3 linked regions of the Arabidopsis thaliana genome follow. The protein of the gene in region 3 interacts with the protein of the main gene of each other region in a biochemical or structural test. Each region holds a gene or a part of one and is shown on either strand. Other genes may lie near its edges.

Evidence for each region.
Region 1: the proteins of NPQ4 (region 3) and DEG1 form a complex in vitro, tested with the Arabidopsis thaliana proteins (one study listed by BioGRID).
Region 2: the proteins of NPQ4 (region 3) and CAB2 form a complex in vitro, tested with the Arabidopsis thaliana proteins (one study listed by BioGRID).

What each region holds. Positions count from the first base shown.
Region 1 is NC_003074.8:10,363,886-10,372,431, forward strand, and holds DEG1 (DegP protease 1), read right to left. Parts: upstream 5,060-8,546; 5' UTR 4,980-5,059; coding exon 4,558-4,979; intron 4,469-4,557; coding exon 4,346-4,468; intron 4,188-4,345; coding exon 4,016-4,187; intron 3,895-4,015; coding exon 3,857-3,894; intron 3,630-3,856; coding exon 3,431-3,629; intron 3,313-3,430; coding exon 3,160-3,312; intron 3,057-3,159; coding exon 2,922-3,056; intron 2,852-2,921; coding exon 2,774-2,851; 3' UTR 2,724-2,773; exon of another isoform or gene 2,464-2,723; intron 1,784-2,463; 3' UTR 1,767-1,783; downstream 1-1,766. Other genes in the region: AT3G27930 (beta-galactosidase), read right to left, coding at 5,708-5,876, 5,966-6,038, 6,130-6,211, 6,303-6,393, 6,488-6,564, 6,681-6,722, 6,914-7,044, 7,173-7,253 and 6 more. UniProt on the Arabidopsis thaliana protein: Serine protease that is required at high temperature. May be involved in the degradation of damaged proteins. In vivo, can degrade beta-casein.
Region 2 is NC_003070.9:10,472,890-10,479,609, reverse strand, and holds CAB2 (chlorophyll A/B-binding protein 2), read left to right. Parts: upstream 1-3,640; 5' UTR 3,641-3,717; coding exon 3,718-4,521; 3' UTR 4,522-4,954; downstream 4,955-6,720. Other genes in the region: NRPA2 (nuclear RNA polymerase A2), read left to right, coding at 1-288; CAB1 (chlorophyll A/B binding protein 1), read right to left, coding at 736-1,539; CAB3 (chlorophyll A/B binding protein 3), read left to right, coding at 6,364-6,720.
Region 3 is NC_003070.9:16,868,598-16,877,043, forward strand, and holds NPQ4 (Chlorophyll A-B binding family protein), read left to right. Parts: upstream 1-1,623; 5' UTR 1,624-1,677; intron 1,678-2,913; exon of another isoform or gene 2,914-3,021; 5' UTR 3,022-3,170; coding exon 3,171-3,362; intron 3,363-3,446; coding exon 3,447-3,560; intron 3,561-3,639; coding exon 3,640-3,883; coding exon of another isoform or gene 3,884-3,951; exon of another isoform or gene 3,952-4,349; coding exon 4,350-4,597; 3' UTR 4,598-4,827; downstream 4,828-8,446. Other genes in the region: AT1G44608 (uncharacterized protein), read right to left, coding at 6,652-6,899, 7,379-7,661. UniProt on the Arabidopsis thaliana protein: Plays an important role in non-photochemical quenching (NPQ), a process maintains the balance between dissipation and utilization of light energy to minimize generation of oxidizing molecules, thereby protecting the plant against photo-oxidative damage; acts upstream of DLDG1.

The DNA of each region.
Region 1 (8,546 bases), on a different chromosome or scaffold from region 3:
ACTGCGAAATGTTCTATATTGTATGATTTAACTGATTTGTAATTTATTTGACACGTTAACCAGTTTGTTTATGCACTGTATACACTTACATTCTACTAATATTTGATAATGATCTTTTTCATTGGAACTACATATTATTTTTAGTTATTTATACAACAAAGTGGGATCGGAACAACCTATTTAAAAGTACCACAGAGTTCACCCTAAAACAGTTTTTTTGCAGAAGATAAAACATGAAAAAAGAAACTTTGATGGATCAATGAAATGGTTCTCCTTTCCATATGTCTTGTTTCTCAAATTATAGTCAACTTTTCGACATACTTTTTAAAAGTTCATGAGGTTACCCTCTTTAATTGAGTTTTAAAAATAGACCACAAAATTTATGTGTTCATTTACATATCATATCGATTTAATTTCTTAAATCTAATCAGATAGTTTAGCCTGTATACTGATTAGTTAGTCAAAATGAGAATTTTCAAGTCACAAGTTCGAACATTATAGTAGATAAGAGACCAAATTAATCTCCTCTAATTTTCGGGGTAGAAAAATTATGGACCTAAATTATATATATGTGTGTGCATACTGTTAATATACAAAGACATATATATATATATATATATATTTTGATGAAAGGTTTAATTTATTTACTCAAGAAAGCGTCTACGTACAAAGTATGAGTATATGTTGAATACCATATAACCTAGTTCCAACTAACAAGTTAAGTGGTAGAGAATAAAATAGTGAAACTGAATATGTAAGGAATATGTCTCACAACTATTTAACTAAATAATTGGAGGAATAGAAGCTCTGCTCTTCACTTGTCTCCCTACTTACCAGTTACCACCTTCCTACTCTCTTCTACTTTGGTTTTCGAGCTAGCTTATACATATACCCTTATAAATATGCATACTATTTACTTGCACAAAAACAGAAAAATATAGTTTCCACTAGCTAAATAGTATTTCGGTTATAAAAAAACTACTTTAATTTTTGACTAACTCGAGAAAGTACAAACAATTATTTCTAAGAAATGTAAATTATGTATATGAAGTAGCTACTATCATTATTCTTTTTACTTATAAGTACTGTAGTTTTTTACTCAATGTTTTTGTTATTAGGTTTTTTAGTATTAAGTTGTTAATATTGGGGCTACATAAAGCCAAACAAACATATATGATTGGCATAGTCAAGTTCTCAACAAGCTATCCTCTAACGAAGCATTTGGGTAACGACATGTCGTCGTATATATATCTAGATACACGTACATATTAAATTAGAAATTTACTCCAAAAGCAGAGGATTCTCGTAATCATTACCAAGTCGGCTCGAAAGTAGTTTATATACATTACTATGAATACATTTCCAAATGAAGATGCCCGTGATTTATGACCCCACAAATTCAAAGACAAAGACAAAAAAAATATATACCCTATTAAACCGGTTTGGTTTAGATACAGTCCCAACCATAGAAGATACAATCTTACTACATATACTTTACGTTGCAAATTTATAAATACCAACCCATGTCAGTGTCTTGTTGGTGTTGCTTAAAAAGAATGACACAAATATTAAATTCCACGTAGGGACCTTCGCTGATCATTACATATTCGGTTCGTTTTCACTTATCACGTGGGTAATATTTGATGTTATGAAAGTGTTCAAAAACTACGTAAATTATAGTTTTTGCACCCAAAAAATAAAATACAAATGGTTGAGTTTGTATACAGGGAAACATGCAGACATAACCTCAAACTTTTTTTTTTTTTGCAAAGCTACCTTTCACCTGCAACACAACCATCCAAGTCATAACTTAGCTCGAGTAAATGATCTCTCAACGAGAGCATGCGTTCACAACTTAATAAAAAAACTCAATAATTTATCAAAACTACAGTACGTTGTTTTAAATATTTTAAAAAACTAACATAATGTGAAATAGGGACCGTAAAATGACTTAACAATTGAACAAATAACCTAAACCGTGTAAGACTATATTATAAAGATTCGAACACATGACATGAACTCAAGACATAACCATATAATACACGTACATCTTTTGATAAATCATGAAGAATAATATCAAAAAGAAATTCTTGGTAATGAGTCGAAAATCAAACCATTAAATTTTCAAACTCGAATGTTTGTAGATGTAAAATTTTAGGAAGTTTCATGTATAAAAAGTAACCATGTTCGGAACTGAATAAAAGCTATAAAAGGACTTTGTTAACTTCGGAATCCGTAAGTTCAGAATTGTCTCGACTAAAATAAAGGTCCAAAATCAGTACTAATGTACTATGTAATATGTATCATTGCTAAGCCGCACAATCATGAAATTTTATTTTGGTACTACAAAGCCGCAAAATCAGTACTATGCATCATTGCAAAATCAGTACTATGCATCCGAGAGAGTGTTGAAAAAAAAATTTGGTACTACAAAGCCGCAAAATCAGTACTATGCATCATTGCTAAGATGAGGTAACTGTCCATTAAGCCGACGAAATTCGGTTTTCATTTTTCTCATTTTGATTTTTTCTAGGTGTCAGACTCGTCACTCCCAATGTCTGAACCGAAATTAAAAACCAATCCAAACCATAAGACCGTTTGAAGACATTGCAATTTTGGTTATTTCCGGTTACCTTTCGCATGTATGCAAATATAAACAGATTTTATGTACACAATTGGACGATCTATTTTCCGAACAATTGATATACAAAAATATAACCCACCGGACTTTTTTTCTACACGTTATGTATATTTACTTCTTTCAACGACGTTTCTAAGACTCGTCCGGCTTTGGTTCGAGAGTTACAGAGATTTTCTCCTTGTGATCGCCTCTTAGAACCTCTACGGTCACCTAATCAACATCATCAGTGTCAAAACTATCTCGGATGCAGAAACTAATTGACAAAAACTGCGGAGTTTACCTCATCGCCGACTTTGCATTGATCGAGAATCCGGTACAGATCACTCCCGTTAGAGACTTTTGTACCGTTCACCGACGTGATTATGTCTCCTAGTACTAGTCTCCCGTAACCATCACGTTTTGTTGACTGAAGTCCCTGTGGAACAAAACCAATTTTACACATTTCAATATTAAAACCGCGGAGTGAAACATAGAGAAAATATCTGTTATATGGAAACTTGGAAACAGGAAGAGCTTACGGCTTTGCCGGCTGGACCACTTGGAGGAGCATCCAAGACGAGCACACCGCTCACTCCCAATTGCTCAACAGATTGGTCCGGTGCGAATTTGATACCTAAGATTGGTCTGGTGACTTTACCAAATCTCACCAGCTGATCAACGATACCACCAACCTGAACATGAGAGAAACAGAGCTCGAAACAACTTTAGTCTCCCGTTAGTGGATTCAATGATAGAGAAAGACTCTATCTGATCAGATTTGCAATGGGTAAAAAAGAAGAGAGAACTCACTGTATCAACTGGGATCGAAAAGCCCACTCCAGAAGATGCACCAGAAGGAGAATAAATGGCTGTGTTTATACCAATTAACGTTCCTGAGCTATCTAGAAGAGGTCCTCCGCTGTTACCAGGGTTAATGGCTGCATCTGTCTGTATCACATCTTGAATTGGACGACCAGTTGCAGCAGAACTAATTTCTCTTCGCAAACCACTGTACAAATCATAATGCACAAACATGCTACAGTTTTAATAAGAGAAAAGGAATAGTATAGCCATTTGGCATGAAGAGGGGCAAGAGAAAATATATGTATCCAGTATCCTCAAGTACCAATCATCTTTTTTGACACTTTCATTTGTGAGTTCGTTATGAGAAGAACACATCTGATTAGAGTAGAATGCAACTTAAAAAAAAGAGAAGACAAATATAATTTAACATACCTTATAACACCAGTTGTGAGAGTATGATCAAGTCCAAACTGCACAAAAAAGTTCTTGCTTTAGTGCGTATGAACAAGAAACATAAGTATTGACCTAGCTAGCAATAGAAAACACAAAGCAGAGCTTTAATCTATGATCACTTTAAGGATGTATACTCACTGGATTGCCAATGGCAAAGACTTTCTGGCCAACAAGCAGATCAGCAGAGACTCCAACAGGTATAGGTCTTAATTTGTTTTTCGGTGCATCAATACGTAATACTGCAACATCCTTATCTTGGTCAAATCCAACAACTTTTGCATCAAATGTTGTTTGATCAGCAAGAGTGACCCTGTTATATACATCATCCAACTTCCTTATCATACACAAACATCAAAAGAAACCATCCAAAGAAACAATGTACTCATTATAAAACTAAGAATACAACAATTACTAATTCCAATTTCTATCAAAAATCAATCAGATTCTCAAAGTTTCAACATAACTAACCTGAGATCAGAAGCACCACGAATAACATGGTAATTGGTAACAATATGACCTTGCTTATCCCACACAAATCCTGAACCAGAGCCTTGAGGTACCTCAAGAACGTCCAATGTAAACGCGTCCTGCCTAATTCAAACAACATTAGACCAATCCTCAAATCACGGAGAGAAGAAATTCAAAACGAAATTCACCAGAGAGAAATCAAATTCAGATACCTCACGGCGAGATTAGTGATGTAAACAACGGAAGGAGTGTTCTCTTGAAACAAACGAACCGTCGCGAGCTCATCAGTTTGAAGTTTCTTCGGAGTACTAACTACAAACGCCGAGGCAGATTCAACGGCGGGAGAAGCGGCGAAGAGTGAAAACGATAACGCGACGGAGGTACAGAGGAGGAAGAAAGGTTTAACGGCGGAGAACGGAGTAAAATGAAGAGTATCATCATCGTCGTCTCTGTTGTTGTCGTTTAGTGAAAGCTTCGAGAGGATTCGGAAATAGCGTTTGGATCGGATTGGGTAAAGAGAAATTGGAGAGGATCGTGAAGAAGAGAGATTGAAGAAGGAGAGGTGAGAAGAAGGAGGAGAGTGAAGGAAGAGAGTGGAAGAAAGGAGAAGCGAACAACTCGTCGTCGTCGCCATTTAGTTTCTTCTTCTTCTTCTGGTCATGGGACAATGGGATTGTGGTCTCTGTTTTATTTCATTTTTTTTTGTAATTAAAAATATTAATTTTTGAAAATAATGGTTTTTCTATGCGAAGCTATGGTTTTGTATACGTAACCGAATCGAACCGAAATTGAATTGAAATTTGTTTAGTAAACCACTATTTTATGATCTTATGAATCTGGAATAAACAAAACCGGGTCTTTTTTTTGTTACCGAATCAAATTGAATCGAAAACTTTTTGTACTTTGAAAATAAATTTAAACAGTAACCTTTATTATGGTAAATATTATAAAGAATGTTGTTACTTATATCCATAACCCGTAGTACACCAATAATCGATTTTTTAAAATTTTTAAATTTAAGTTGTATTTCTTTATATTATTTGTTTTGTTTTTGTTTGATATTTGTTCACCCGTAATATATCATCCCATATAAATATCGTTCCAAACCGAATGAAAAGTCCAAAAACAAATCAGGATTTCGCTTCATTTAAGAACTTCGAAAAATCAAAAGCCCAAAAAGACCAAACTTAAGAGTTTAAACCAGATAATCCACTCCTAATTTTGAACACTAAACACTTGTACTCCATAAGAGTAAAAATGGTTATTCCTAAGTAATTCTTCTTTCGTCGAACTTATTAAATACTTGACTTGGTTGATATCTAAATCTACTAGATAAAAGTGCAAAAAGATTAATGGTGTAGTTTAGAGAATCTTCTGGGACGGTCTAAGTTCTTTTGGCAGCTCACTAAAATTCTCTGCGTCCACATCGGCTTGATACATTGGTCTCTTCCCCATTTTCCACACAATCCCTTCAGCTAAATGTTCTTTGTTCGGTGTCAGCATTACAAAGTTTGGATCAGCTCTTTGGTAACTGCAATTTCACAAAATAAAACAATGTGAAGAAGATCATGAAGCTAAAGAGGGTTGATTTAATTTTAAACTTGTCACAAATGGACTGACCTGGCTTCTCTTAAGTTATCAACACGTAGACCGAACCCACATTGGACATTTCCAGTCCTATGATTAGTTGTTGCTGCATAAAAAATGAGTCCAAACATGTTCAAATACCAAGAACCTATGTTCATCTTGATTTCGCTGCATTCAGGTTATTTATCAACGCATACCTGAAATATTGAATGCGAAAGACGGTTTCCACCACGACTTGAATGCTAATGACAATGTTGAGCTATGAGCTCCGACTTTACCCTGCAAAAGTTGAAAATGTTACATACTGAGCAAAATTTGAGATAAATGGTTTCTTTTTGAGTAACTCGATAAGGTAAATATTTTTTTATACCTTCAGCAAAAAGTTCTTGTTGGCCTGCCAAGACGCAGCCACCTGCAATAAAGAATCTGGGGCATTGGGTGGCGTCTTGGAATCATCAACCCTTCAATATTAAGACGAAATATAAAGTTCTGTTTCTGTATAGACAAACAGTAGCTACAATGTTTTTTTTTTTTTTACTTAGAGATGTTCACTACCTCGATTGTAGCTCAAAACCAAAATCAATGTAGTTTGTGATTCCAACTACTTGGTTTTCTTCGAAAGGATTTTGCACCTGTTCCAAGTCCATTAAATCGATTTCATATTGAGCCAAAGATGTGCTAAACTTTATATATGGAAGACTAGTATAAGATGCAGCACAGAAAAAGGACTTGTTTGAAAGAGTTGTACCCGTCTTTGGACCACTACGTGTTGGTAGAACGAAGCAATAAACTGCATTTACAAGAAAGATAACATAATCAGCAAGACTAAAAATGCTACAAAATGGATGATATGCCATTAGATAAATAATGTGGTCGTTTGTCAAGTTCCATGAGATACTGAAAAATTGTTTGGGGTTAAGACTTGTGCATACAGACAGCAAAACAACATGTTTTCATCTACACGGATTTTAAAAGAATCACCTGAGAGCTTCTTGCTAGTTCAATGCCAATGTTAAAAGAAGGAGTCAAGGGGCTTTGTGACCCTACTCCATAGCCAGCAGCACAACTCCAGTTTCTTGGGTCTGTGTACTTTGCCAAATCTTTGCTTCCATCTAAAACAAAATCCAATAACAATTGTTGATGCTCACTTTCTTTCAATCACATAATTTATAGATACTAGTTTCCACATGTGATGCGTAAAATCTGTTCAACAGAAATAAAACAATGTAAACTAACTCACGTAGCGGCTCATATTGTACTCCTACTGTAAGACTTCCCATCTTGCTTACAAGCCATGCATGCTTTGGCAATTCGTTATTCGCTGAATTGAAGAATCAAAGGGTCAGCATTGTGTCCAAAAGAAAACAACGTGAATTCACAGAGCAACTTTATGCGCTTACCACTAAAAGGAGTGACAGTAGCTCCGACAGACAAATTCGTTGAGCCATATCTCAACCCCATGATTCTATATTCTTCAGATGATTTTCCACTACAGAGACAACATATATTCACCCTCACAATATTACATCTAATCTAAATATAACAACAGGGTACACACCTAGATACGACTTACGTAATTTTTGAAATCAAAGGGTAGACCGCAAATGCCCCGATTCCATATTTAGGATAGTAAGCAGAAGACCTCATTAGAAGAACCCTTAATGATGATGACAAACAAAACAAACAATTTCAAAACATTAAACTACTGTAATGAACATAACCTCCAAGAATATATCAAAAGTAGCACAAAGTTTACGGATTCGAGGTTGACACAGAGAGATCAACAAAAGTATGAGGATCATCAACATCACTGCATATTTATCAAAAACAAACTAATCAGTATTCCAATTCTCCAACAACTACTTGTAATCTTTCAGATTAAAAACTAAAGAATCTATACCTTTGCCAGCGAAACTCCGCATTCCCAACAAAATCTCCTTCCACTCTACCATCTACAGCACCCGAAACCTTTAGACTATTAAGGAAAATTCTGATTTTCTACATATCCCTAATACATCCATTTAGAGAAAATTCTCGAATCATCACTATATAGAAACTAAATAACACAAAAGAGATTTCAAAATTGGATACAGATGCAACCAAATCCACATGAGGATCATCAGTAGGCTTCAACAAAAACTTGCCCGTGAATCGATTAGCTTCTTCAAAGTAATCCTCAAATAGACATCTCAATGCAAGCTTCCCAAACAACAAATTATATGATGATTCCAACATCCTGCATCAACAACAACAACAATTTCTCACAATCGCACAATTACAATTTAACCTATAAATCAGAATCGATCTATTTGATTAGATTAGGTTATACAAAAACTACTTCGAAATCACGCGATTCTAACAAATTGAAAGTATGAGGATCAGATCGGAGAAGAAGAGGAGATGGTAGACCTAGTGCGGGCGGAGAGAGGAGGGTAATCAAAGAGCGGAGGAACGAGTACCACCGGAGGCGGTGGTTCTTTTTTGACAAGAGCATTCCCCATTGTTCTAGAACGGAGAAGAAGAGATTCTGCGACAACGAGAGAGCTTCTTCGATGAATTCAATAGTTAGTGAGAGCTCTCGGCGATAGTCTCGCTTCTGCTTTTGCTTCACGTT
Region 2 (6,720 bases), 6.4 Mb from region 3:
AGGCTTCATACATCTTCAGATCACCACATTGCAGATGTGTGTTCGCTATGTGGAAGCTTGCTCACATCATCTGTTGTGAACGTTCAACAGAAGAAGCTTATTCAAGAAATTGGAAAGTTACCTCCTGGTAGAACTCCAAAGAAGGTAACTTGCTATTCTTGCAAGACAAGTAAAGGCATGGAAACAGTTGCAATGCCCTATGTGTTCAGGTACTTGGCTGCAGAGTTGGCTTCAATGAATATTAAGATGACTCTTCAGTTAAGCGATAGAGAAGGAGTAACTGATTAAGATTTTACACCAGAGGAAGAAAAAAATAACCAGATCTTTACAATGTACTAGTGTGTAGAAGAATATATTATTCATCAGTTTTTGGTTTTGCTTTGTTAGTATATTTTCTAGTGGAAAACGTCATCTATTTTTGGTCAAAGTGAATTTTTAAACAAATGTGTTTGATTTGTACGGATAAAATCAATGAATTTTTGATTCTCCAATACCATTAACTTAACTTTGACATGTATAAGTTGTTCAATTGTGGTAATAAACTCTGCAATTGAGTGATCCGAAGGACATAAAACGAATCCAATTTGGTAATTGCCAGATAATTTGAGAGAAAAACGAGTTATTTGATTAATGAAAAAAATACAAAGTCTTGCAAATTTTACATCTAAACAAGCTCTCTTTCTCCTCTCACACTCACGAAGCAAAGACTGAAGCAAAATACAGATAAAACTTGGCTCACTTTCCGGGAACAAAGTTGGTGGCGAAGGCCCATGCGTTGTTGTTAACTGGATCGGCCAAATGGTCAGCAAGGTTCTCTATCGGTCCCTTACCAGTGACGATGGCTTGAACGAAGAATCCAAACATAGAGAACATAGCCAATCTTCCGTTCTTGAGCTCCTTCACCTTCAACTCAGCGAATGCCTCTGGGTCGGTAGCCAAACCCAATGGGTCGAAGCTGCCACCGGGGTAAAGCAAGTCCTCGGCCTCTCCCAATGGCCCATTTCCTGCGACTCTGTAGCCTTCAACGGCTCCCATCAAAATAACTTGTGTGGCCCAAATGGCCAAAATGCTCTGAGCGTGAACCAAGCTAGGGTTTCCCAAGTAATCGAGCCCTCCATCGCTGAAGATCTGTGAACCGGCCTTGAACCAAACCGCCTCTCCGAACTTGACTCCGTTTCTAGCCAAAAGCTCAGGGAAGACGCAGCCTAGGGCTCCGAGCATGGCCCACCTGCTGTGGATAACTTCTAGTTCACGGTTCCTTGCGAATGTCTCGGGGTCAGCTGAAAGTCCGGCGGTGTCCCATCCGTAGTCTCCGGGGAACTCTCCGGTAAGGTAGCTCGGTGATTCGCCAGAGAATGGACCCAAGTACTTGACACGGTCAGATCCGTACCATGGGCTGCCTGATGGGCCCTTTGGCTTGGCAACAGTCTTCCTCATTGTCACACGGCCGCTTCCAAGGACTTCAGATGCCGCGGGGGAAAGCTTGACGGCCTTACCGGCGAAGGCAGGGGAGGAGAGAGCCATTGTTGAGGCGGCCATTGAGGTTGAGTAGTGCAGCACAAAGTAAAACGTTTAAGATTTGTTGTTGTAAGCCAAGAAATGGGTGGTTTGGTATTGATGCGATTTTCGCTATATATAATACAGAAATCTAAATACTGTCTTATCTTGAAATATCAATCTCTGAGGTTGCTATTGGCTAGTCATAGATTTTTTTTGGGGTTTAGATTGTTTGTTTGCTTACGTGGTTAATGGCTCGCACTTCGCAGATTCGCAATTGATATGTGTTTTAGATATCTAGGTGCGTTTCATGGATTGGCGAAACACCCACTCATGACGTGACACGTATACGAATAGATCTCTCTATCCTTATGAAATCCTGAGAGCATCAATGTAAACCAAAACAAAAAAAATTTGGATAATTGCCTTGTATAATACATTTTATTAAACCTTTTGTATATATGCTTCTTTTTTTTTTCTTCTTCTGATAATAATAATAACTCTTGGCTAGAGATAAAACATAAGAACAAAGTAGATAAAACTATAAAATTTATGTATGGAAATAAGATTATCTAAAACTACGGAATTGAATCAAACTTTACCACAGAAACATAAGAAATTATTACCATCTTAATTAGCACCTGTATTGACCATAATATTTTATTAGAAGAAGAAGAAAACATTGGAATCCACCAGATCAAGGTGATGGTCAGGGTCATAAGACAGCTCCATAATCACGAGTCATGGTCATAGACTCATAGCCACAAGTCTGCTTCTCCCTTACCAATACCAACGGCTTCAACAACGGCCACAACTAATAAGCCAATTCCAACGGCCACCATATAACTGAACCGGATATTCACCAAACCCATTTCAACCGGAAATTGATCCACAAGTAATTAAAAATGTTCTGACCAAATGTGGAATAGGTGGGAAAATGTTGAAGTAAAGGCCAATTCTATAATGTGAGAGGAAAACTCTTTTTTGAGCTTCAGGAATATTTTCTTAGACCTGACCTTGAATCTATATTTTGTAGTTCTTCAATGATTTGATTTCTCTATTCATTTCCTTATAAATTAAATTACTTGTGAAATGAATTTCTGTTTAGAAAAACCTTGAACTTCCTAGTTGACCAAAGGATTAGAAAATCTTTCTAAGTGGAGTGTCTCCTAATAATGGATCAAAAGTGTTTGGAGCAAAAAAGAACGCATAGTGTATTAGTGTTAACAGCTTTTATAGTTCAAAGTTTAGAATGTGCTCTAAAGCATATGTGTGAGCCTGTGAGGTCTAGTGATTGTAAAAAAGAAAAATTGTGCTTCGTGGAAAGTGATGCAATAAACAACACTTCTAGGGCTGAGTAAAACCAACTAGACATGTAATGATAGCTTAAACCGTTTTCTATAGGAGTGTGATTGAGGAGTAATTTGTTGATGAATTCGGAAAAAGCGAATAAATAAGTTTGTTCAAAAGGTTGTTGAAGTTTACAATAAAGATAACTTGAATCATGATAAGAAAAAAAGTAGCTATATGTTCTCTAAAGTCTAAACCCATGATGATGAACATGCCATATGAATTAATATAGTTCTTTCATGTTCTTAGAAATGGTCGATAAGTTAAAACAGTGTTTCATTAATCGTTGTGTTTCTTCGATAAAGAGTAAAACGTCAAAGTTTTAAGGTGATATCACATAATTCATGAGATTATTTTGGTTATTGGATAAAGTGACGATGAAATCGATTCATAATTGAAATTAAACTGGTAGTGATGATGAACTAATTACCATTGAAAATATTGATATTTATGTGTGGGTAAATGCTTTTTATAATGTTACTTTATATTAATGTTTCGATCATCAGAATCTATATTTTCAAAATGTTATACTTTAAGTTTTAGTTATTGGGTTGTAGCAAAAATCATTCTTGTCACGAGGGTGTAAGTAAGTGTAACCGTTGAAGTATTCAGTGGCTCATAACTTGTGGTCACAAAACGCTTGGCTGCAATGAAAAAATCAAAACAAATGCTGGTGGACTAGAGATTGCCACGTAAGACTACTAAACGATAAAACAAAAATCTTAAAATCCAATGAATGAACAGATAAAGATTACTTCAGATATAACAAACGTTACAATATCCCTATATAATCCAACACTATCGAACCAGTTTTAATCACTCTCACTCACAAGTTAGTCATAAAAAAAAAAAAAACACAAAAAAGTTTCAATGGCCGCCTCAACAATGGCTCTCTCCTCCCCTGCTTTCGCCGGAAAGGCTGTGAACCTTTCCCCTGCGGCATCAGAAGTCCTTGGAAGCGGCCGTGTGACAATGAGGAAGACTGTTGCCAAGCCAAAGGGTCCATCAGGCAGCCCATGGTACGGATCCGACCGAGTCAAGTACTTGGGTCCATTCTCTGGCGAGTCACCCAGCTACCTTACCGGAGAGTTCCCTGGAGACTACGGATGGGACACAGCTGGTCTATCCGCTGACCCCGAGACATTCGCAAGGAACCGTGAGCTAGAAGTTATCCACAGCAGGTGGGCCATGCTCGGAGCCCTAGGCTGCGTCTTCCCTGAGCTTTTGGCCAGGAACGGAGTCAAGTTTGGAGAGGCAGTTTGGTTCAAGGCTGGTTCACAGATCTTCAGCGATGGAGGGCTCGATTACTTGGGAAACCCTAGCTTGGTTCACGCTCAGAGCATTTTGGCCATTTGGGCCACACAAGTTATTTTGATGGGAGCCGTTGAAGGTTACAGAGTCGCAGGAAATGGGCCATTGGGAGAGGCCGAGGACTTGCTTTACCCCGGTGGCAGTTTCGACCCATTGGGTTTGGCTACCGACCCAGAGGCCTTCGCTGAGTTGAAGGTAAAGGAGCTCAAGAACGGAAGATTGGCTATGTTCTCTATGTTTGGATTCTTCGTTCAAGCCATCGTCACTGGTAAGGGACCGATAGAGAACCTTGCTGACCATTTGGCCGATCCAGTCAACAACAACGCTTGGGCCTTTGCCACCAACTTTGTTCCCGGAAAGTGAGCCAAGTTCTATCTGTTTGTAATTTACTTTTCTTTCAATCTTTTGAATTCGAGTGAGAGACAGGAGGAGAAAGAGTAGGTTTGTGTTTGTGGTGGATGGTAGAGACTTTCAGATGTAAATTTGCAAAGACTTTGTATGATTTGTCATTAATCAAATAACTCATTGTTCTCTAAATATGTTTCGTAGAACTATAATTGAATTGGATTTTCAGTTCTTGGGTTCACTCCGTTGTAGAGGCTATTTCTACAATCGAGCAACGTGATTGAACATATTAAGGCAATGGGTACAAAGATTATGTTCTTTTCAAATCAAGAGAAAATGTGATTCTCGGATGTTAGCTTGAACAACACGAAAGAGTCTTTTATATAAGTTTTTTATATTCCCTTGATTTAACTTGTATATCGTCTCTTCACAAAATATGATCGCATTGAAGAAGAAATTGCAATCGTTTTTTTTCTTCTGATTGAGAGAATTAGAGAATAGATAATGAAGTAGTTTCTTCCGTGTTTGGTTGATTCTGAAGCTCGTAACATTGGCTCATACGATATCTGGATAACAATATATCACATTGCTCTGATACCATATTAAAATCACATCCACGCATTGAATGGACTGATCATATATCTTACATATTAGTTAAAATCCATTGTCGTGCGAGAGATTGCCTTCCGTGACATCCTCTGTGGACCAGGTTCGCTTGTCACACTAGCTATAATTGGTGAACACATGATAACATATATGTTTGGAGCATAGAAGAGCTAGCGCCTGTGTCATTGGTGTGTGGTATCGAAAGAACAAGAGAATAGAACAGGAGAACATGAATATAGCTAGGTTTATTCATTTTCACCCCAAAGCTTAGAAATTGCGTTCCAAAGAGTGGGTGAATTCATGTGTGAGGGCAATTAGTGATTGTAAAAATAAAATTGTGTTTTGTAAAAAACTTTTACTGTCGAAATTATTTAGGGTGATGAAAAAATCAGTAAACTACGAATGATAGCTTAAAGAGTTTCTATCAAAGTGATTGAGGAATAGTTTGTTGCAAATTAAACCTCTAACAAAATGTTTTCTGTTGTGGTTTTTCATCTCTACAAATTTTGAATTTTATGATGAATTAGAAAGATAGAATGAGTTACTTTAGATTTTAAAAGGTTGTTCAAGTTTACAAAACAGATTACTAGAATCATGATTAAAAATTTACAAGCTACATATTGTCTAAACCAATGATGTTGAACATACCAGATGATAGTTTTTCAGTGTTTGAACAATCAATTGGATAGTTTTTATGTTTCTGCAAAATATGCAAATAATCAGTGTTTTTGAGTCTTTGCATTTTGATTTAAAAGCAAAAACAACTGAGTTTCAAGGTTAAATTAATTACATTATTCATGAGATTTATCAGGTTAGTGGATAAACTGACAATGGAATCAATGTTATTGTAAATTGGTAGTGATGTTGGACTTCTAATGTTACTCTCTATGATGTTTCGGTCATCAATATCACACTATCTTTACTTTTATTTAAAGGAAAGATCACACAAATAAGTTATCTCTATTCAGAACTATTAAGCTGCTTCCAAAAGACTTGCAACATGTGGTCTCGAAATGCTTTGGCTGCAATGAAAAAATCATAGCAAAAGCTAGTGGACTAGAGACTGCCACATAAGAATAGTAAACGTTAAAACCAAAATCTCAAAAATCCAATGAGTAAAGAGATATAGATTACTTCATAGATAACAAACGTTACTCGCAATTTTCCTATATAATCCAACCCTACCTAACCATTTTCAATCACTCTCACTCACAAGTTAGTCACCAAAAAAAAAAAAAAACACAAAAAGTTTCAATGGCCGCCTCCACAATGGCTCTCTCCTCCCCTGCCTTCGCCGGAAAGGCTGTGAACCTTTCCCCCGCGGCATCTGAAGTCCTCGGAAGCGGCCGTGTGACAATGAGGAAGACTGTTGCCAAGCCAAAGGGTCCATCAGGCAGCCCATGGTACGGATCCGACCGAGTCAAGTACTTGGGTCCATTCTCTGGCGAGTCACCGAGCTACCTTACCGGAGAGTTCCCCGGAGACTACGGATGGGACACCGCTGGACTTTCAGCTGATCCCGAGACATTCGCAAGGAACCGTGAGCTAGAAGTTATCCACAGCAGGTGGGCTATGCTCGGAGCCCTAGGCTGCGTCTTCCCTGAGCTTTTG
Region 3 (8,446 bases):
TTCTTTTTCTTATGGTTTACTCAACCCAACTTTTAATTCGCTCTTTTGCCATGAGCTAGTAGATCACTAGTTGGGTTTGAGGGAGTTTCAAAAGGGATTCATGGGGATGTTAAATCTGGTTTAGGTTGGCAGTTTCTATGATTTTGTTTGATCGTTTATACTATTCTTTCTAGTTGAGTTTGATCTTAATGCATGTATGTCTCGCACACCACCTAATACATGATCTTAGGTATTTTATACTTAGCATAATTTCGTATAATTGCTTGAACCTAACTCACAAATGAATATTGTGTTATAACTATGCAAACGCTAAGTTATAGAGCCTTATGGATTAGAATCGAACTTGAACTTAAAGATTTGATCTATGCGTCGGTTTTTCCCTTATTTTGGGGTCTATTGTTTTTTACAAAAATCTTAACAAAATGCGATTCAAAAATTTGAAACCCAATACAAATGCATCATAAAAATTGGTGAAATGCCGGACCAGTCTGTCCTCGATCAACAGCTAGTTGTTCTCTAGATTTTGAAATATCTTGAGGATGTTTACCCGATGTCTCCGTCCCCACGTTTCTGATAAATGAAACGGCAGTAGATAGAAATATATGTGTTTCCTAGTAAGTTAACTGTATTTCTTTGTGACATATTATGTTATGTGTACCATGTTATTTGGCTATTTGCTATGATAATGTATAAATTATCACATAGCGTCCTAGCGAAATTAATAAAATCTATACTCGAAAATCATTAATCTGAAAGTTCATTAACAGATACACGCCAACATAAAACTATAACATGTTAAAGAGAAAAATACTATTTTCTAATTGATTAAATAAAATGTAAAAACATCCAAAAATACATGTCACATTATTGTTATTTTACTTATTAGGTTTGTTCCCAAAGTATATGCCTAAGCCCACTTGTTTTGTAATAACGTGAAATGAGCAGTTCGTGTTCAAACACGTCTTACATGGAGACAATTAATTAAACACCACTTACTTGTTACTACAAATATACTCTTTCGGAGTGTTGCGAGCAATTTATAAGTCGCACATATTTTTGACTCGAATCGAGTCAATCAGGTTTTCTCAAACTATTAGGGATTTTATGTAATATTTTTTTTTAAAAGGTATATTGATGTGAGTTGCCCAAAAAAAGAAGAAGGTGTGATTGATGTGAAATTGTTTTCAAAATAGGGGTTTAATGTATGTACATATAATTAAAATTAAAATGAAAGTTTATGATATTTAAATATTATATGTCCATTTTGAATATATATGATGATTGTTCAATTGATACAATTTAAATTACAAAATAATGAACTTTTTAGTAGAAGACAATGTTTTGTGTTTAAATTATAACTTTAATGAGACTCATAGAAAGAAAACAAATATGCCTAAACCCGCTTGTCATGATGTGAGATGAGGTGTTCGTGTCCAAAGTTCAAACACGTCTCTCATCGAGAAAACTAATTAAACACCAAAAATTATTCCTTTCTGAGTGTTGTGCGAGTATTTGTAGTTTCAAATGTTTTTTACTCGATTCAAGTTTTTACCGTCCCTAACTATTTTAAGGTTATAAGCGGGTGCGGTTGCGGTTACGGGAGTTTGCGGAAACGGGCGATCACGGTTTTAAGCGTTATCAAGCATTTTGAACGACTGGTTGAGCGTTTGATAATAGGTGCGTTTGCGGGAGTTTTATGACTGATAAACCAGCCGGTGCGATAGTAATTAAATAAAAAATAACCAAAATAAATATAATATATTACTATTAAAAGAAATAAAAATATAATATATTAGAAAAATTGATTTTCTGACCAAATAAAAATACAATATATCATCTCGTCCGACTAAAACATTTTCTAATCGAGAAAACAAATCGAAACATGTATTCAATCAAAAAACTCAAAAGAATACAAAATAAAATAAAAACAATGATGCCATGAAATAGTCAAAGAATTACACTAGCTAATGAGTGAATAAAATGATAGATGATACTTATGTTTGATTCTTGATTTTGATTTTCATCGGATGCCATAATTGAGAGAATAGAGTTACAATATATTGATTAGGGTTTTCTAATAAAAATAAGATATATAAAAGATTAGATTATTTTAATTATAGTGATTAGGGTTTGGGTGGAAACCACAATTATTTTAATTAACTAAAAATAGATTATTTTTTTATTTTTAATCTAACCGCTACCGCCCGCAACCGCAAACGCTTGCGGGAAGGAGCTTTTGAAAATTGGCAATTTTGAGCGGTCCAAAGCGATATCTAGCGGTTTCTATGATTGGTTCCAATCGCTAATAACCGCTACCAACCGCAAACGCTGCGTTTATGGGTGGTAGAGGGAGAACCAATCAGCCCTTAACAAAACCGAAAAAACTAAAGATTTGAACCTAAGTGTCGAAGATTCTTTCGGACCAGTCTTTACCACTAGACTACCTAACAAATACGAAAATATGAAGCCAAAATTGTTTTTATACTATTTGCGACCGTAAGTTTGGGTTTAGCCCGCTTGTGTTTGTGCCCGGCTCTGGCTATATTAAAAAAGAATTAGATATTTTTCAAATATAATATTTTTTACAAAATATGTAATTGATGTGAATTTTTTCAATATAGGTGTTCTTATTTATATACATATTATAAAAAAAATTAAGCCATTTCGTTTTTGTAATATCTAATGTACCAGTTCCATTAGTATGTACTTTGCTAGTATAACATACCCTTTTGACGTGAATCTTCTATGAGTATGTTTCTTTAGTTTTGACCAGACACAATTCATTTACATCAATACATAAATTGGATTTTAGTTCCAAAATATGATTTTCTTGAAAGAAATATTTTATATTTTTATTAGAAGGAGTTATTAGTTCGTCATAAATGGTTCTTTGAATATGACATTTATTTTGTTTTTTTGTTTACTGTCTAAATAAGTATAACTTTTAAAAAGTGTATCTAAATTTTTTAAAAACTATTATATTGATAGATTTATTTTTCTCCACAAAAACGTTATCTCCAGTTCACCACATAGAGAGTATGGAAAGGACAATTGGGAGACGTGGACGCACTTTAAGCCCATCAATAGATTTCCCTTATATCTTTTAATCTCTTCACTTCCACAACACAACACAAAACACATCACTGATCCTTCTCTCATCCTCAGAAAGAATGGCTCAAACCATGCTGCTTACTTCAGGCGTCACCGCCGGCCATTTTTTGAGGAACAAGAGCCCTTTGGCTCAGCCCAAAGTTCACCATCTCTTCCTCTCTGGAAACTCTCCGGTTGCACTACCATCTAGGAGACAATCATTCGTTCCTCTCGCTCTCTTCAAACCCAAAACCAAAGCTGCTCCTAAAAAGGTTTTCACATACTCTTTACTTGTCCCACAAGGAACATTTCTTGTGTGTTTGATGGTAATGTTAAGATTTTCATATACATTTTAGGTTGAGAAGCCGAAGAGCAAGGTTGAGGATGGCATCTTTGGAACGTCTGGTGGGATTGGTTTCACAAAGGCGAATGAGCTATTCGTTGGTCGTGTTGCTATGATCGGTTTCGCTGTAAGTCCCCTCTATGAAATACACTAACTTATCTTCCAAGAAAGAAGCTTTAGTATGAAAGCTGTGTTTCTATGCATAGGCATCGTTGCTTGGTGAGGCGTTGACGGGAAAAGGGATATTAGCTCAGCTGAATCTGGAGACAGGGATACCGATTTACGAAGCAGAGCCATTGCTTCTCTTCTTCATCTTGTTCACTCTGTTGGGAGCCATTGGAGCTCTCGGAGACAGAGGAAAATTCGTCGACGATCCTCCCACCGGGCTCGAGAAAGCCGTCATTCCTCCCGGCAAAAACGTCCGATCTGCCCTCGGTCTCAAAGAACAAGGTATCTCTCAACATTTCTATTTCTATCTTTGTTACAATGACATTGCTCTGAACAACCAATGCAAATAATATAACCTGATAGAGTACTATAGTAACTAGTATAACTGAATTGGCCTAAGTGTAGTGTCCGGATCGGCTTTATGTTTATTTATCGTTATCCTAAGATACAAATGTGAGACAAAAGATACTAGCATGGAACTGTCAATCTCCAAAAATAATCTCTAAATGTTTATTTATTTATCGTTGGCCTGATAGATTATTTATCGTTATCAATTTCTATCTTTTTCCCCCATGTAAGCACATTGGTTCCTGAATGGCTTTCTCTAGCAGAGAGTCTCTTCCCGTTAACTTAAATAAAATAGTGTTTCTGAAAAGAAAAAAAGATACAAATATGAGATTACTTAAAGAGTTGCTTGGTCTAATGTTTTGAATAAATTTGAATATGTTTGTTGTTTTGTTGTGTGAAGGTCCATTGTTTGGGTTCACGAAGGCGAACGAGTTATTCGTAGGAAGATTGGCACAGTTGGGAATAGCATTTTCACTGATAGGAGAGATTATTACCGGGAAAGGAGCATTAGCTCAACTCAACATTGAGACCGGTATACCAATTCAAGATATCGAACCACTTGTCCTCTTAAACGTTGCTTTCTTCTTCTTCGCTGCCATTAATCCTGGTAATGGAAAATTCATCACCGATGATGGTGAAGAAAGCTAAATTATCATGTACTTAAATTTAGTAGAGAGTGTGTGACCTTCTCTTCATGTTGAGACAAAAGGAAATGGACAGCTTAAATTGTTGTAATACTTATATCCTTTTGTTTTTAACTTGGAATTTTCTGATTATATATAGTTTTATTACACCTAAGTGACTAGGTGATTGATATCATCTAGCATCTCTTAACAGAAAAAAACTGTGGAATTAGAACAGCTTCATCATAGTTTTTTTTTTTGATAAATCAAACAGAATTTAAAACTAATATGTTAAAGTACATGTTAGGAACTTATTTGATTCCAAAATCTAGATTATAAAATTAATTTGGTAAATCATGAAGGAGCCGTTGTTTTTGCTCTAGTGGTTCCCCAAAAATCAGAACATAATGGCAAGTGTTTATGGCCGCGCGTACCTTCACAAGATAGTTTGCAAAAGTGAAGGTAGCGTCTCCCCTAGAGTGATTTTCTCCATTCGTCTGGTGTACCTGGCTCGTACAGGCCGTCTCTGGGGGTGGCAAGGTAGGCAAATGCCCAAGGTTACTAATCAATTTCAAAAAAATTGTTAAGACTAAAAGGCCCCAATTTTTCCAAAAAAAAACATTTACTAAGAGATTTTATTTTATTTTGAGTTTTGCCATAGGTCTCATAATGAATTGAGCCGGGATCTAAAGCATACACTGCAAGAGTAAATATTAATTTCTATTCTAGAGGACGTCTTCGATGTTGACGAAAAGAAAAGTATCCCATGCAAATCCAGCAACTCTGTCCTATTTCGGACAGTCCAAAAATCGAACTTACGAAACAATTGATCTAAAAATCATGAGCGTTCCAAATACTCCTCATAATGGTAAAATTCATAATCAAACTTCCCAATAAAAAAGAAGCCAAAAACATCTAAAATTTATGTTTACCTGTACCCAACCCTTAAACATGTTTTCAAAAGAATCTCCAAAATCATTCCTTCATCAAACCAAATCAAATCTTAAAATAAAATTTTATATAAAGAAAAAAAAAACTTAAAACCCAAAATGTGAAACGTAACTCAAAAAATAGAAAGCTCTTTCTAACAAAAATAAATATGTTTAAACTTCTAACCCCACGTCATTATCATCTCCTTCGCCGTCTTCAATGTCTTCTCCTCCGGTGATTTTCTCCATGATCTCTTTTGAAGATGAGATTACAAGATTTCTACTGGAAAAGCGCTTAAATTTGATCAACAAAAATCGACTGTTACCATATCAAATACTCCATTATAGAATAGAATAGCTCATGTGGAAAAGCGCTTAAATTTGATCAACACACGATTTTGTGCCTATTTCGACAACGACATACACTTGAAAGTGCTTTATTCGTAATTGATCCCAATATATCAAGATCTAGATAATTTTTCTTTCGAGTTCACGGACTTGACTTCATAGACATACTTTCATACACCAAAGTACTTGGTCTCCAAGATTTAAATCTTTCTCTCCAAATAATGTCCAATAAGACAAGTCTTTCTCTTGATTCGCTTGTGTGGTGCGACGGAGGAGTTTTCAAGCCATTTCAACGGCTATCTCTAAGCAAACGAGGTTCTCTTACATGCGCCTTCTAAATAAACTTTTGCTTTTTCAAAAATTAATTAAGAAGGCTTGATAAAAAAAATTGTTTTTTTTCTATTACTTGGGCCTTTTAATCCCATAAACAAATGTATTACATGTCCTTTTAGAAAAGCTTTTAGTTTCTTTCTTTTAGTTTTCTTTTGTCTGTTTTAATACAATTTTTTTTTGACATTTTGAAAAGCGGCAATGATTGATTAAGTTATAACTTATGATTAATCGTTGATCATTGTTAATCTTTCTGTAGATCGGTTTTGCAATGAATAACGACATAGGTTGTTGTTTGGTTAATGTTTTTTCGTTGTGAATCGAATATTGATTTCATCTTAGAGTTGCAAATAATTAAGTATAAATTATGTAAGAGAAAAAGAACAAGAAGAATACCTATAACAAAAAAATTATTGTAAATTTTGAGAAGTTATTAATCTTAGAGTTTCTGTTAAGTGGGGGACAAAGGCCTTCACCAACTTCTACTCAAGTCATCTTCACTTTTAACCTTGGCGGACAAGTGACATGCTCTAGACCGGCTTTTGAAACTGATGACGTGTAAGAGTCTACGAATCCGTTTTCTCCACGACAGTAGAGGAGGAAGTGGTGTGGACTGAGGAACAAACTCCTTCTTCGTGTGGACATGTTGATATTGCGTTTCTTTTCCTTTCTCCCATGAAGTTGCTCGGTTGTCTTCGAAGTTGATCGAAATGAATGAATCTATAGATATATAAAATAAATTAATAGAGCCACCTTGTACCGTTGATCTTTATGGACGTTTTAAATTTGGTAATTATTATTGAAATATTTACTCTTTTAGTTAGATTTAATATTTTTTCTTAACCTAAGAATCCGCAAATAGGTAAACAAAATTATAAAGTGAAAATATTTGAAAAGTTAAATTAAAATATTATTTATTTAATAAACAAAAAATATATTATTTATTTAGAGAAGGGAAAAATGATCATTTTATTCTTCAACTATTTGTAATTAACGTGTGCGCAGTTCTAATTATTGACTTAACAAATTTGGCCCAAAATTTGGTCAATGTTAATGTTTACTAGTTAATAGAAAAACGTTAAATTAGTCGATTAAAACTTAATAAATTCAGAAAATGAGAGTGGATATATAAATATTTGTGGCTATTTACTATATATATACTCTCTAAATTAAATAAAAGAGTTTAGTACATATGGTACCTTCTGGACTGATAATGGAGGTGTTCTGGTGATCGGACTTGTGATGTCGGAGTTCGAAGAAGCTAAAGAAGGAGAAGAGTCTGATGGGTTTCTTTCTAGAAGAATTTTGAAGGATGGTTTTCGGGATGGTTTGGTAGGAAGAAGGAGGACATGGAGGGCGTAATCTCTGTAGAGAAGCCACGACCAAAAGCCTCTCGTTAAGACAGAGAGGACACACACCTTCAATAACATCTACTGGATGGATGTTACAAGAAGATGTTGAGCTTTTGTTCTGTCCTTTCATGGCTTGTCTAAGAGAGAGAGAGAGGTGAAGAAATCGAAGACTGTTTTTGTTTAGAGACTTGATTCGGCAAATCTACTTAAGATGGTGAGAAGCAGAATTTGTGTGTGTGTGTGTGGGTGGATATTGGTTTATGAGCTGTCACTATTTAGAAGATGTTAAATAATGAATGTAATCTGATTTTGAAATTTAACAATGATTCGAAATACGATCATGATTGGTAATGAAAAATATTATAGTTAGGGAATAGTTATTAACACTGTCAATGGTTGGTACATGATCGTTAAAAATTCCTAAATTAGTCTGGATTTCATGTATGACAAAACCATGACTCATATGGATTTAAGTAATTGAAAAGTGTGAACTTAAAGTGTTAAAGGTTACGGCGAATTTTGGCAGATTTTGACGAATAGCTTATTTTAATATTTTTCCGATTTTAAAATTATATAAATACTATTTTAGAATAAAATATATAAATATAATAAATAAGTATGTATCTATTCATTATATTAAAAGAGATTTTGTTTTTTTTATCAATTGATATTAATCAAAACTCAAACGAGCTATTTTCGAAGGAAATTGGTTATATATATGATATGACTAAAAGATTTTTGTTCTTGTTGGAATATTAAATGAACCGCTACTTTCACTTTTGGTGAATGAAAACATTGGTAGTAAAAAACTGGTAACTATGGAAAGATACCCAAAAGTATGCATTTGCAATCAAACATTCTTAGATACCTAAAAGTATGCATTTGCAATCAAACATTTTTATGTGCGTTTAGCAC